3 linked regions of the Oryctolagus cuniculus genome follow. The protein of the gene in region 1 interacts with the protein of each later gene in a pairwise test. Links are inferred from orthologs where the notes say so. Each region holds a gene or a part of one and is shown on either strand. Other genes may lie near its edges. The genes, in order: SH2B1, NTRK1 and INSR.

Region 1 (3,567 bases):
CTCCCCACTTTGGGCCTCTGCGCCTGCCGCCTGCCACCTGCCTCCCTGGGCTGTGTTCCTGGCCCTCACCTCCCCTGAGCTCCCAAGGCGCTTCCTGCTCGCGTGCTTGGAGGACACCAAGCACAGGCTCTGAGGGGCCTGCTTCTCACTCAGGGACGTCGGCGCCCGTGGAGGGCGAGGAGCTCATCTCGGGCGTGAGTCCCCGTCCTGCCCAGGGCCTGTGCCAGGCCCAGGCGCGCTGAGTGGCTGCTGGGTGGCAGACTTGAGCCCAGCCGACTGTCCCTGGCGGTCAGTGCTCAGGAGCCACACAGACATGGCAGACACGCGCTCAGGGCAGCAGGCTCTGCCAGTGCCACTCAGGAGGGCCTCAGAAAAGGCACCTGTGGGCGCCGCTCTGGCTCTGAGATCTGACTGCTCTGTTCACTTGCTGAGGACAGCCTGACTTCTCGGGACCGGGACGCTGCAACTTACAACACAGGGGCCGGAGACAGGGCAGCAGCAGAAGCAGCCTAGTCTACACGTGGCCTGGGGGAGGGGGGTAGTCTGGGAGGGGTGAGAGCAGTGTGTGTAAGGGTGTGTGAGAGGGTGGGAACAGTCTGTGTGTGAGAGGGAGGGTGGGGGCAGTGTGTGAGAGGGGTAGCAGTCTGAGTGTGTGTGTGTGTGAGAGAGAGAGAGGGAGGGTGGGAGCAGTGTGTGTATGTGTGTGTGAGGGGGAACAGTCTATATGTGTGTGTGTGTATGAGGGGAGCAGTCTGTGTGTGTGTGTGAGAGGGAGGGTGGGAGCAGTGTGTGTGTGTGTGTGTGTGTGTGTGAGCAGTCTGTATATGTGTGTGTGTATGAGGAGAGCAGTCTATGTGTGTGTGTGCATGCATGTATGGAGGGGAAGAAGTCTGTGGGGGGGAGCAGTCTGTGGGGGGGAGTAGTCTGTGTGAGAGAGGGTGGGAGAAGTCTGTGTGTCTGAGAGTAGGAGCAGTGTACGTGTTTGTGTGTGTGTATGGGAAGGGAAGCAGTCTCGGGGGAGCAGTCTGTGTCTATGTGTGTGTATGGGAGGAGAGCAGTCTGTGGGGGGAGCCGTCTGTGTGAGGGAAGTTGTGGAAGGGTGAGCAGTGTGTGTGAGGGGGGAGTTGTGGGAGGGCAAGCAGTCTGGTGGGGGCAGTCTGTGTGTGTGTGTTTGAGGGGGAGCAGTCTGTGGGGGGGGGAGCAGTCTCTGTGTGGGGGGGAGCAGTCTGTGGGGGGGCAGTCTGTGTGTGTTTGAGGGGGAGCAGTCTGTGGGGGGGAGCAGTCTCTGTGTGGGGGGGAGCAGTCTGTGGGGGGGCAGTCTGTGTGTGTTTGAGGGGGAGCAGTCTCTCTGTGTGGGGGGGCAGTCTGTGTGTGTGTGTGTGTGTTTGAGGGGGAGCAGTCTTTGTGTGTGTGTATGGTCAGGCCAGAAAGTAAGAGTCGAAAGGGAGGCCGCTGCCACTGCCCGACACGCGGAGGCAGGGAAGAGCTAACCTAAGATTTCTTGCCGGCGTGCTGGCGGCCTGGAGAACCGAGGTGCAGGCCTGTGGGCAGCTTGGGGAGAAAGCGACATGGCACGGGGTGGGCACTCAGCACAGCAGTCAGGACGTCCAGGCCCGTACGGGGTGCCCGGGTTCACGTCCCAGCTCTGCTTCTGGTCCAAGCTTCTTATCAGTGCGGCAGGTGATGGCTCAAGGACTTGGGTCCCTGACACTCACGTCAGACACCCGGATTGGGTTCTAGGCTCTGGCTTCAGCCTGGTTCAGCCCTAGCTACTGTGGGTGCTGAGGGAGCAAAAAAGCCTATCTGTTTTAAATAAAAAATGCTAATACAAATTTCAAAGTGACACAGCTGTTGCAAAAGGCTGGACAGGAATTTGCTCGGGGCCTGGGTGGGGTGGTGAGGGCGCTGATTCTAAACAGCCAACAGGGGGCCAGCACTGTGGTGCAGCAGGTTCAGCGGCCGCCTGTGGCGCCCGCAGCCCGCATCAGAGCGCCGGTGCCAGTCCTGGCTGCTCTGCCTTCCATCCAGCTCCCTGCCGATGCACCTGCAGACGCAGCGGAAGACGGTGACCCCAGTACATGGCCCCTGCCACCCACGTGGAAGAACCGGGTGGAGTTCCTGGCTCCCGGCTTCCGCCCAGTCCAGCCCCAGCTGTTGCAGTCACTTGGGGAGTGAACTTGCCCGTGGAAGACCTAGCTCTCCCTCTCTCTTTCTGTCACTCTGCCTTTCAAATACATAAAAATGAAATCTTTATAGAATACGGCCAATGGTGGCACTGAGAGTGGTGGCGTGTTCAGGTACAAAAGATGGGCTTTGGCAGGGCGGCGCGCTGGAGAACCTGCAGCGCCTGGGGCCGCGTGCGCGTGCGCGGTGGGCTCCGAGGCCCAGCTCCCGAAGGCTGCGCCCTTACCCTGCGCCAGGCGGTCGTTGCTCTCACTGGCTCCCAGCAGCAGGTCCTGGCTGGGCAGGCTCTCCGAGTGGTTCAGGCATGGCAGCTCCAGGCTGTCTGTGTTCTCCCGTGTGAGGAATGAGGTCCCAGGGGCCAGAGGGAGGGTCATGGGGCGGGGGCTGGTCGTGGGGCAGGGGCTGCAGAGACAGGAAAAGTGAGCCAGGTGAGCGGCACGGGGCTGCCCCCCCCCCCCCCAGCCCCAGGGCCCTGCGGCAGCGGCAGGCGGGCTCCTCACCCCGGGCTCAGGCACTCCTGGATGTCGGACACCCAGGCCTTCACGTGCAGCGCGTCGGCCGTCTCCAGGATATACTCCGCAGGGCCTTCCACCTGAGGCGGCAGAGGACAGTCCCAGCCAGCGCCAGGTCCCTTCCCGATCCTGACGCCTCAACCCCGCTCTGACGAAGGCAGCACCACCTCCCTCTCCATGCCCTTCCGGAAAAGCGGCAGGCCCGGCCCAAGGACGCGTCTTGGGGCACCTGACTTGCACGACCCCTTCCCCCAAGGGCACCTGCTCCGGTGCACGAGCACCCGCGGGCTCCTACCTTAACCACAAACGTGTTCTCCCGATCCGGCATCTCCAGGGCGGTGGTGGTCCGCACGTCCGTGATGGCAGAGCAGGGAATGCTGAGTCGGGGCCGAGACGCCTAGGTCGGGAACCGGAAGGAGGCTCTGCTGTGGGGTGCGGAGAGACCCCTTCCCCTCTACATCCCCGGGCTCTGCTTTCCCAGTCCTGCCTGAGACCCACACAGCTGGGAGGACGCGGGGGCGCTGCGGGGCTCCCTGCAGGACTGCGCCCACCCCGGGGCCTCACCTTGGGCGGCACAAAGAACTCCAGACGGCTCCCTCCTCCTCCTTCTCCTTCGCTTCGGAGCAGCAAGCGACACTTCTGCCACTGGGGCGGCCCCCCGGCCCCCGCCGCCAGCCCAGCTGTCCCCCCGGCCCGGCCCACTCCGGCTGGCTCGGGGGCTGCCTCTTCAGCCCCCATGAAACTCAGCAGCTCTTCCCTCTGCACCGTCCCTGCCCCTTCCTTCGGGCCGCCCCCTCCCCGACTCAGTCTCAGCCTCTCGAAACGGTGAGTCCACCTCTCCCCGGGGGAGGGGCCGTCACTGGCCAGTCCC
Region 2 (4,022 bases), on another chromosome or scaffold:
GGCCAGAACGTGGGCAGTGTCTTGGAGCCTTTCTCGGCCAGGAGGCCCCCCTGGCCATTCTTTCTGGGTCCCTTGGCGCGAGCCTTGGTTTTCGCCACGTACCCCAGTCCTGGCCAGGATCCCCTTGAGGAACGCGATCACCCCGCGGGGATCTGCCTGTCTGGTCACCTTCCTGGTGACCCGGACTGCTCAGACGTTCCTGTGTGCCCCAGCCCCGGGGAATCGGGAGACCAGGGGTGCTGCCTGAGCTCGCGCCCTGGGGCCCTTGTTTGCCCCTCCCCTCGGCAGAGAGATCGGGCCCTTGTGGCCACCAAGGCCCGCAGGAAGCCCTGCGTGCTGGGAATCCCGGTACTTTCCAGGTGCGCGGCCTCCGAGGGCCGGCCGGTCCCCAGCTCCACCCTCGGGCGGCTCCCGCGGCCGAAGGGCTAAGAGAAGACCTATTAATTTCTCGGCGCAGAAATCGATGCTCTTGTCAAGGCGGCGATCGATGCCAGCTCTGCTCGGCCTGGTCCTGCCCGGCCGGGCACCGAGGGCTGACGCTGGGACCCGTGGCATGGCGCAGAAAGGGCTGCAGACCGCACCCCCGCATCCAACCACCCAACCTGGGTCCCAGGCTTGCACCTTAGCGCGCAGGCTTCTAGCGCCACCCTGTGGCCTTTGCTGGACGGCAGGGCCTCGGCTCCCTGACCCCTTCCCTTTCTCTGTCCCTTCTGTTTTGCAATTGGTCCTTTTTTGGGGGCTCCTCTTCCTTTTCTTCCTAGGGTTCAGAGCGTTTCACCCAAATTACCCCAAATGACGTCACTCCCACAGACGAGCACACCGCGAGGCTGGGGGCTGTCTACGCGGACCTGGACGGCTCAGTCATCTCCCCTCCCCCCAAAATGTCAAAAGGCAGCTGCTTGAGGCTGGGAAAAATAATGTATCAACTTCCCCGTGCCCCCACGGCCAGCCAGAGACCTTCCGCGGCGGCCCCTCCGCCCCTCCCAGACCTGGGGGAATCTTGAGCTACAAGGCTGGCGCTGCGGGCTCCCGAAAGCCGAGGCGGCGGAGGTGCGGGAGTTGGAGAGAAGGGGCGGGGCGGGGCCGGGCGGGGGCCGCTGGCTCCGCCCTTTCCTGGCGGCTGGGTCTTTAACACCGCCCCGCGCACATGTGCGGGGAGGCCCGGCAGCCGCAGCTGGGAGCTCACAGACGGCGGCCGGGCCGGGGTAAGGCGAGCGCCGCCGCGATGCTGCGAGGCGGACGGCGCTGGCAGCTTGGCTGGCACAGCCAGGCGACGGGGCCGGGCACCTTGCTGGCGTGGCTAATGCTGGCATCCGCGGGTGCCGCGCTCTGCCCCGATGTCTGTTGCCCCCGCGGCCCCTCGGGGCTGCTCTGCACCCGTCCTGGAGCCCTGGACAGGCTCCGCCACCTGCCGGGCATCGAGAACCTGACAGAGCTGTGAGTGTCCGGCGGGCGAGGGGGAGCGCGGGGACGGGCGGGCGTCACCGAGCCCCGAGGGCGCGGACTCACCGCCTGCCTGCTGGGTCAGGCGCGGCGGGAGGCTGGCCCTGCGTGTCTTTTGGCGGGGTCTCGGCGGTCCTTCGCCGCAGCCGCCCCTGCTAGCCCCGCCGTCACTACCTGGCTGCCGCCTAGGGCTCAGGCCAGCTGTGGCGCCAGGTTCGGGGAGAGCGAGCGCATTTTCCGTGGACCAGGTCTGAGAGAGCCCGGCTATCTTAAGGCACTTTCTGGAGCTCAGCCAGGAGCCCGAGCTCTGCTCCATTGGAGGCGGGGGATTGGTCGCGGAGACCCTCTCAGTTTGGCACCCCTACCATCTTTTCCTTTTTCTAGGGGGCATGCTAGCCCCCACGCCCTTGTCATGACCGGGCTCTCCAGGCCCTTGCCCTGGGACTGGGAATTGAGCTGGGATTGGCGGAACCTAGTGGCTCCTCTCCCGGTTTCCACCATCCCTTGAATCCAGGATGCCTTGGGTTGGATGTGGGGAATGGGACCCCCTCCTGGCTTCTCCAGCCGCCCCCCTCCAACCATCTCCCTTTCCATCCTTGTCTCGACTTGGGGCACAGTCAGGCCTTTGCTGAGAGCCCCCTGCCCAGCCCCCTCTACCCGCTCCCCTTGCTGCCCGCAGCCCAGGGGCATCTGCAGCGTTTTGCACTACTCTGATATCCTGCAGCCATTTGCCACCAAATACTCTGCTACTTTCTAGCGGCTGGGGAAACCTATGGGAGTATGCTGTAATAACTGGCCCCGAGGTACTGAAGCATCACAGAACAGTGGCTGGAAAATACTCAAGCATTGCCAGCAGGACTCCTGGCAGCAGGGACGAGCTGCTAGAAAAATCCTGCTCCTGTGGCCTGGGGCTGAGAAGGTGGACAAGGGACCCTGGCCTTGTGCAGGGAGGGGCTGGAAGGTGTCCGAGGCGGGGTCTACCACCACTGTCTGGAAGTTACTTGAGCAGCCTGTAATAATTGGCACGGACTTGCTCGGGCATCTCGTGGTAATTAACGGGAAGGTACTCAATAGCTCTCTCTAATGGCCCTGGGGAGGCTAGGAGCAGAGGAGATGGCCTTGTCTCGGTCTGGGCCTAGGTCTCTGCATGCTGGGAGGGGACCTGAAGCCTGTCCAGTCATCGCCCCAGGCGTCCCAGTGGGACCCCGGTTCCCTGTCACTGCTCTCATCTCCCAGTGCCCTTCCAAGCCCCAAGAAGAATAAACGCCTGGGGGAAGGGTGGACAGTCCAGGGTCGGGGGCTAGGAGGTATGCAGGGGGTGAGCTGAGATGTCCCCCTGGGTGGACCAGCAGCCCCCTCCCTCCTCCCTCACCCTCAGAGCTAACGAGGAGATAATGGACTCCAATAGACAGATTGATTACGAATCCAAACGAATGGGGCAGCCTTGAGGCAGCCTTGCGCAAGCTGCCTGACAGCCTGCACACACCCAGCCCGCCACCGCTGCTTCCCAGCTCCCCGGGCCCCAGCAGCCTGAAACCCTACGGTCAGGTGCTGTAGGGTGGAGAGGACCAGGAGCTGCCCTCCTTCCGGGTCTCTAGAGGTTGCTCCCTGAGCCTCAGGGCACGGAGGACCTGATTCTTGCCTGGCCTCTTGGGATCAAGGCTGGGAAGGGGGGCTGGGAGGAGGAAGAAGCTAGTCTTGGTTCCTTTATTTGGTCCTTACTTAGGAAAAGTAAGAGGTAGAGTGGGAGCATTCTGAGAAGCGGCGGTGAGTCAGGGCCCCGGGTGCCCATGTGAGGGCCACACTGACGTGCAACTTGCAGAACAGCCGAGTGCCCAGGACCTCCCTGGCACACTGGGTGCAGAAGCTAGCCCAGGGCTCCCGCCAGCCCCCAGCCCAGGTGCCTGCTTGCTCTGCTTTCTTTGCTGTCTTCCTATCTGGCCTTCTCTGCCTCTTTGTCCTTATCTCTCTGTCTCTGTCTCCCTTTCCTTATCCTTCTCCTCTCTCTCTCTGCCAGTCTCCCCCTATCAGCTTCTCTTTCTCACTCTCTCTGTTTCTGTCTTGCTCTCTTTGTTTTTCTGCCGTCCCTTCCCATCCCTCTCTCGCCATGTGAGCCAGCCAGTTCACTCCCACTCCATTCTCTCATTCCCTTTCTCCTCCTGCCTGGGCCCCTCCTGGGGCAGGGAGGGGTCCGGGGGTCCATGCCTGACAGCTTCTATGCTTCTTGCTTGCTCTGCCCAATGGGCAGGGGTGGAGGGAGGAAGGGGTTGATGCTTGAGTGTGGGAAGGGGCCAGAGGCTTTGAGGGGGTGGAGAAGGTGGAGTGTGTACGTGTGTGTGTGTGTGTGTGTGTGTGTGTGTGTGTAGTGGTATGAGTGGGCCCTGGGCAGGCGTGATTGGGGCACATGCTTGCAGGGACACAGGGTCTCTCCGTGCTGGGTGGGGCAGTGGCAGGGCTGAGCCCAGCCCCTTGTGGAAGCAGGTGTTTCAGCATGACCCCCATTGTTGAGCACACGCAGGGGAGGTCTGGAATGAAAGCAGAATGCCCCGCTGAGCATGCGCTCGTGTTGTTTGTGAATG
Region 3 (4,336 bases), on another chromosome or scaffold:
GTAGTGATGATGTCCAGAGAACAGGACATGACAAAGGTCCAACCACCTTACTGCATCCAAGGAGCCTGGCGTCCAGTCACGAGTGGATGGGAATGGCGGCTCCTCCACTCTCACCTCCTAGGTGCTCTTGGCCCTGGGGTTCCACCACCTCCACACTCTGCCTCACTGGTATGTTGGGTTGATGGTATCTGCAGGTCAGATTTGGGGAGGTGCATGGAAAAGACGACTTGGGAAAGTCCTCAGGAGGACCCCAGACCCAAAGCATTCATATTCTCATTTTCTCTCTCTTTCTCTCTCTCCCTCCTCCCCCTATGGTTTACTTATTTATTTAAAAGGCAGAGTGATAGATCTTCCATTCACTGATTCATCTCCCAAATGACTGCCACGGCAGGGGCTGGGCCAGGTGGAAGTCTAGAGCCAGGCGCTTCATCTGGATCTCCCCTGTGAGTGTCACGGGTCCAAGCACTTGGGCCATCAAGTGCTGCTTTTCCCACGTGCATCAGCAAGGAGTTGTATTGGAAGTGGAGCATCTGGGCCTGGAACCTGGTTCCCTTTCCTGTCTTTATTCAGCAAACAGAAGTCCATGGGGCCTTGGTTGGCCACACCTTGCAGATCCAGTTCTCTCTGTCTCTTCTCTGTATGCCCCATGGTCTCCATAACATGCTCATCTCAGAATTCCTGAGTGTTTTCTGCATTTCTTTCCTGTTTGTCAAGGCAGACACCACGTCAGTGTTGTTTGGTTCTTCGTCCCCTGAGATGTATTAGTGGGCTGATCAATATTTGTTTAATGGGAGAATCAACAAACTATAAGGGGTTTATAGTGAGCAAAACAAACATAACCCATTTCCTTCTAGAAACCGAGTTGCCTGCTGGAAACCGCGCGAGTCCACCTGCGCCTTATCTGGGATCCCCCACGACCTTGCGAGGGACGCTTCTCCAGCTTGGACCCCAGGCCTAGGAGCGCGCGGGGGACGGCGACCAGGACGCACGCGTGCTGGCAGGCGGCCGTCCCCGGGGGCCCCTGGCGCGGGTGGGTCGCGCCCCGGGTTGGGGCGCACGCGCGTTCGCCCAGCTCCGGGGCCCAGGCGCGCCGCGGCGAGCGGGCTGCAGCCTTTAAGGGAGTGTCGAGTCACCGAGACAAATCACACGGGTGTGCCATATGGTGACAAGCCTCCAATGTGAACAAAACAGCAAAATGGCCAAGAAGGGGAGGCTCGGCCCGGGCCGCGTCGGGGCCTCGAGGGTGGGGAGGGGCGTCCCCGGGCTGCGGAGCGGCGCTCTGTCCGGGCGGGGACCTGGCGCGCCCCCTCGGCCCCCGAGCGCTCGGGGCCTCTGGCGCGCTGGGCGGGGCCGGGCGGCGCCGCCCTCGCTCCCTCCCCTCCGCGGGCCTCCCCCGGGCCGCTCCCGGGCGCCGAGTCCCTTCCGAGGCCAGATCCGCGCCGCCTTTTCCCGCGGCCCTCACGGGGCCCAGCTGACGGGCCGCGTTGTTTACGGGCCCGAGGCCGCCCTCGCTCCCGCCCGCCGCCCGCCAGCCCGCCCGCCCGCGCGCCCCTCTGTCTGGGGGGCCGCCGGTAGCGCAGCTCCGAGAGCACGCGGCCGAGCGTCCGGAGGCCCGAGGCGCAGCGCAGAGCTCCCGGGCCGAAGACCGCGGGCCGTGGGCCGCGCAGCCGCGTCTGTGGCGTCCGCGGAGGCCGCGCGCCCTTCGCGGCGCCGTCTCCAGGGTCCTCCCCGGCGGGCGTCTCGGGTCCGCGGGCCGTCCTGCCCCAGCGCCTCTCAGGAGGCCGGCTCCGAGCATGAGCCCCGCGGGCCGGCGCCGCGCGCTCTGATCCGCGGGGACCCCGCGCTCCCGCAGCCATGGGCGCTGGGGGCCGGCGGGGGGCGGCGGCCGCGCCGCTGCTGGCGGCGGTGGCCGCGCTGCTGGTGGGCGCCGCGGGCCACCTGTACCCCGGAGAGGGTAAGTTTAGGGAGGCTTGGGCGCGGGCTAGGGGCGCCGCGCAGGGGACGGGACCCTCCCCCACCCCCCTCGCCAAAATGGAGCCCTCGTAGTGGACTGAGCATTCTCCCCGCTGAGGGAGGAGCGGTGGCCGGGCCGGCCGCTGCGGCCCCGCGCGGGGCGGGAAGCCACTGACCTTGGCCTTTGGTCGCCCGGCCGCGGGCGCCTCTCCCGAGCGCGCCCCCTCAGAGCCCGGCTCGCTCCGGAGACGCCACCCGCGCCCTCTCCGGGTCGCCTCTGGGCTGTGGGGTCACTGGGTCGGGGCAGCCGAGCGCCCGCCCAGCGCGCACGGTTTGGAGCCGCAGCTCAGGGAGTTCCGCAGTGGGTGCCGCTGTCTGCGTGGAAAGGCTGGGGCCCTCCCTGCTACCCCATTCCTTGGCTCTAGGACTCCTGGCCGACCGGACTTCCGAGGCCCCTTGGTAAGGCCTGGGCATCAGCAGCCGTGAGAGCACCACCCGTAGTGGCCTAACTGTTGTCATTAGTGTCACCGTTAACCCCACCAGTGACCCCTGGAGGCGATTAGCGTCCTGCACCCATTTCACAGAGGGATTAATTGAGGTCTGGGCAGGACATAGTCTCACTGTCCAGAGCCAGGACTGACCTTCTCTGTGTCCAGTTCTGTCTGAGGCACTGGACTGCTGTCCCTTGTCTCACGTCTCCCAGGTACCCCCAGCCCCTCAGCTCTGCCCTTGGAGACAGGCAGGGAGTGACCCTCTGGTGGGCAGCCCTCCTGGGTGCTCCTGCCTGGGCAGCAGGCAGAGGTGGACCCCAATCCTTGTGTCTTCCTCAGACTTGAGAGCAAACCCCTTTGTGGGGACCCTGATGTTGTCCACCATGAGGTCTGAGGCTGTTGTGCAGCTGCTTTGGGTTTCTCGTAAAAGATCAATCAGGGTGAGGAAGGGGCTGGAACGAGATGGAGTCGAAGCTCCTTAACTTGCAGGTGGCCACCGACCCCAGTGTGCAGAGGGAGGGCCTGGTATACAGTAGGTGCTCAGTCCAGTGTGCTGAGGGAGAGCCTGGAATACAGTAGGCGCTCAGCGGCAGGTGGAAGTCGCTATTAGTTCTTGGTGAGAATACCCGTGATGGGTGGTTATACCTGTGGCAGGCTGTGTGCACGTGCTCTATGTTCTGTGCGGCTTTGGTAACCAACCATGGGTCTGTGCCTGGGCTTTCAGGGGTCAGCGAACGCATTTGCCGGCTTTTCACCTGTTCCTGGTTTCCACCAGGGGCACAGCTTTTACTGTTTTTGTTCACTTCTGCAGTTCTTGAGCCCAGAACAATGCTTGGGTGCAGCAGGCGGTCAGTATCTTTGCTCCCTGGGGAGCTGACCTGGGTGCCTGCAGTTCCTTTATCATCCAAAGAAGCACCTTAGTCTCTGTGTGATACCTGCCTAACACTCAGCTTGCACTGTCTTGTGGGTTTGGCAGGCATAATCTTGGGGCATCCTCACCACACCCTAAGAGGCAGGTCGATGAGGAAATGTTATGAGGTTATAGGGCCAGCGTACCTGCTGTCCTACAATCCCCTGAGATCAATGAGATGGGGAGGGGCCAGCGACTTGCCAGGCTACCAGTCACTGACACCTGCCCATATGGTGTGAGATCAGTGTGATGGCTGGGGATGGACTGGTCTGGTCTATTCTCCCCTTGGAGGTTTTGCTGCTCTGCGCGGGATTGGGCGAGGATCTCGTCCTTCATTTTCTGCTGTGCCCTGAGCTTTGGGAAGTTAGAGGAGCAGCGTGAGACTGATTAAAGCAGGGGTGAGCGGAGTTTTGGGGGCACTCACTCCTCTCTGTGATGGTCACCTCCTTGCAGCTACCCCTTAACTATTGCTTCTCTCCTGGAGACCAGCCCCTCACCCCTTCCTTACTTGTTCCCAGAGACTCTGGTGGGGACCCCTCACCCTGGTCCCTCCGTGGTTGACACTGATTGCCCGTGGCTGCAGGGCCATATTGGGCACTGTGGGGTGTGGGGCAGCATCTCCTTGCCGGTGGCATTCCTCTGGCCCCTGGGTCGCGACAAGCACAGGTGCCTCCCGAGCCATTGCACGGGAGGGTGCTGGGTGTTGATTCCGCTCCCCTAGGGCTCTCTGCCTCTTCCTCTCTTTGTTCAGGAATTTTCACCTGCCCTGAGCCTTTCCCTTTTCAGCCCACATAGAAGCCTTGCACTCGGTCACCCAACCTTGACCTGAAGCCCCCTCCCTCCCCCCTTCACCTTTCACCCACTGGTCTGGCTATGGCGTCTTGCTGGTGTCTGCACCGCCCCTGGCTCTCTCTCAAAGGTAACCTACCCCTCCCAGTTGTGTCTCCTGCAGCCTGGCCTCTGCTGACCCTTCTTGGTCCAA

What was found.
Region 2: the proteins of SH2B1 (region 1) and NTRK1 interact in a two-hybrid assay, tested with the Homo sapiens proteins (2 studies listed by BioGRID). The link is inferred for Oryctolagus cuniculus from reciprocal best matches to the Homo sapiens genes SH2B1 and NTRK1.
Region 3: the proteins of SH2B1 (region 1) and INSR interact in binary tests that used the Homo sapiens proteins (3 or more experiments, as listed by UniProt). The link is inferred for Oryctolagus cuniculus from reciprocal best matches to the Homo sapiens genes SH2B1 and INSR.

What each region holds. Positions count from the first base shown.
Region 1 is NC_091450.1:7,706,041-7,709,607, reverse strand, and holds part of SH2B1 (SH2B adapter protein 1), read right to left. Parts: coding exon 3,261-3,567; intron 3,094-3,260; coding exon 2,992-3,093; intron 2,777-2,991; coding exon 2,685-2,776; intron 2,587-2,684; coding exon 2,411-2,586; intron 1-2,410. UniProt on the Homo sapiens protein: Adapter protein for several members of the tyrosine kinase receptor family.
Region 2 is NC_091438.1:41,947,886-41,951,907, reverse strand, and holds the start of NTRK1 (high affinity nerve growth factor receptor), read left to right. Parts: upstream 1-1,155; 5' UTR 1,156-1,225; coding exon 1,226-1,437; intron 1,438-4,022. UniProt on the Homo sapiens protein: Receptor tyrosine kinase involved in the development and the maturation of the central and peripheral nervous systems through regulation of proliferation, differentiation and survival of sympathetic and nervous neurons.
Region 3 is NW_027208201.1:3,695,837-3,700,172, reverse strand, and holds the start of INSR (insulin receptor), read left to right. Parts: upstream 1-1,483; 5' UTR 1,484-1,854; coding exon 1,855-1,954; intron 1,955-4,336. UniProt on the Homo sapiens protein: Receptor tyrosine kinase which mediates the pleiotropic actions of insulin.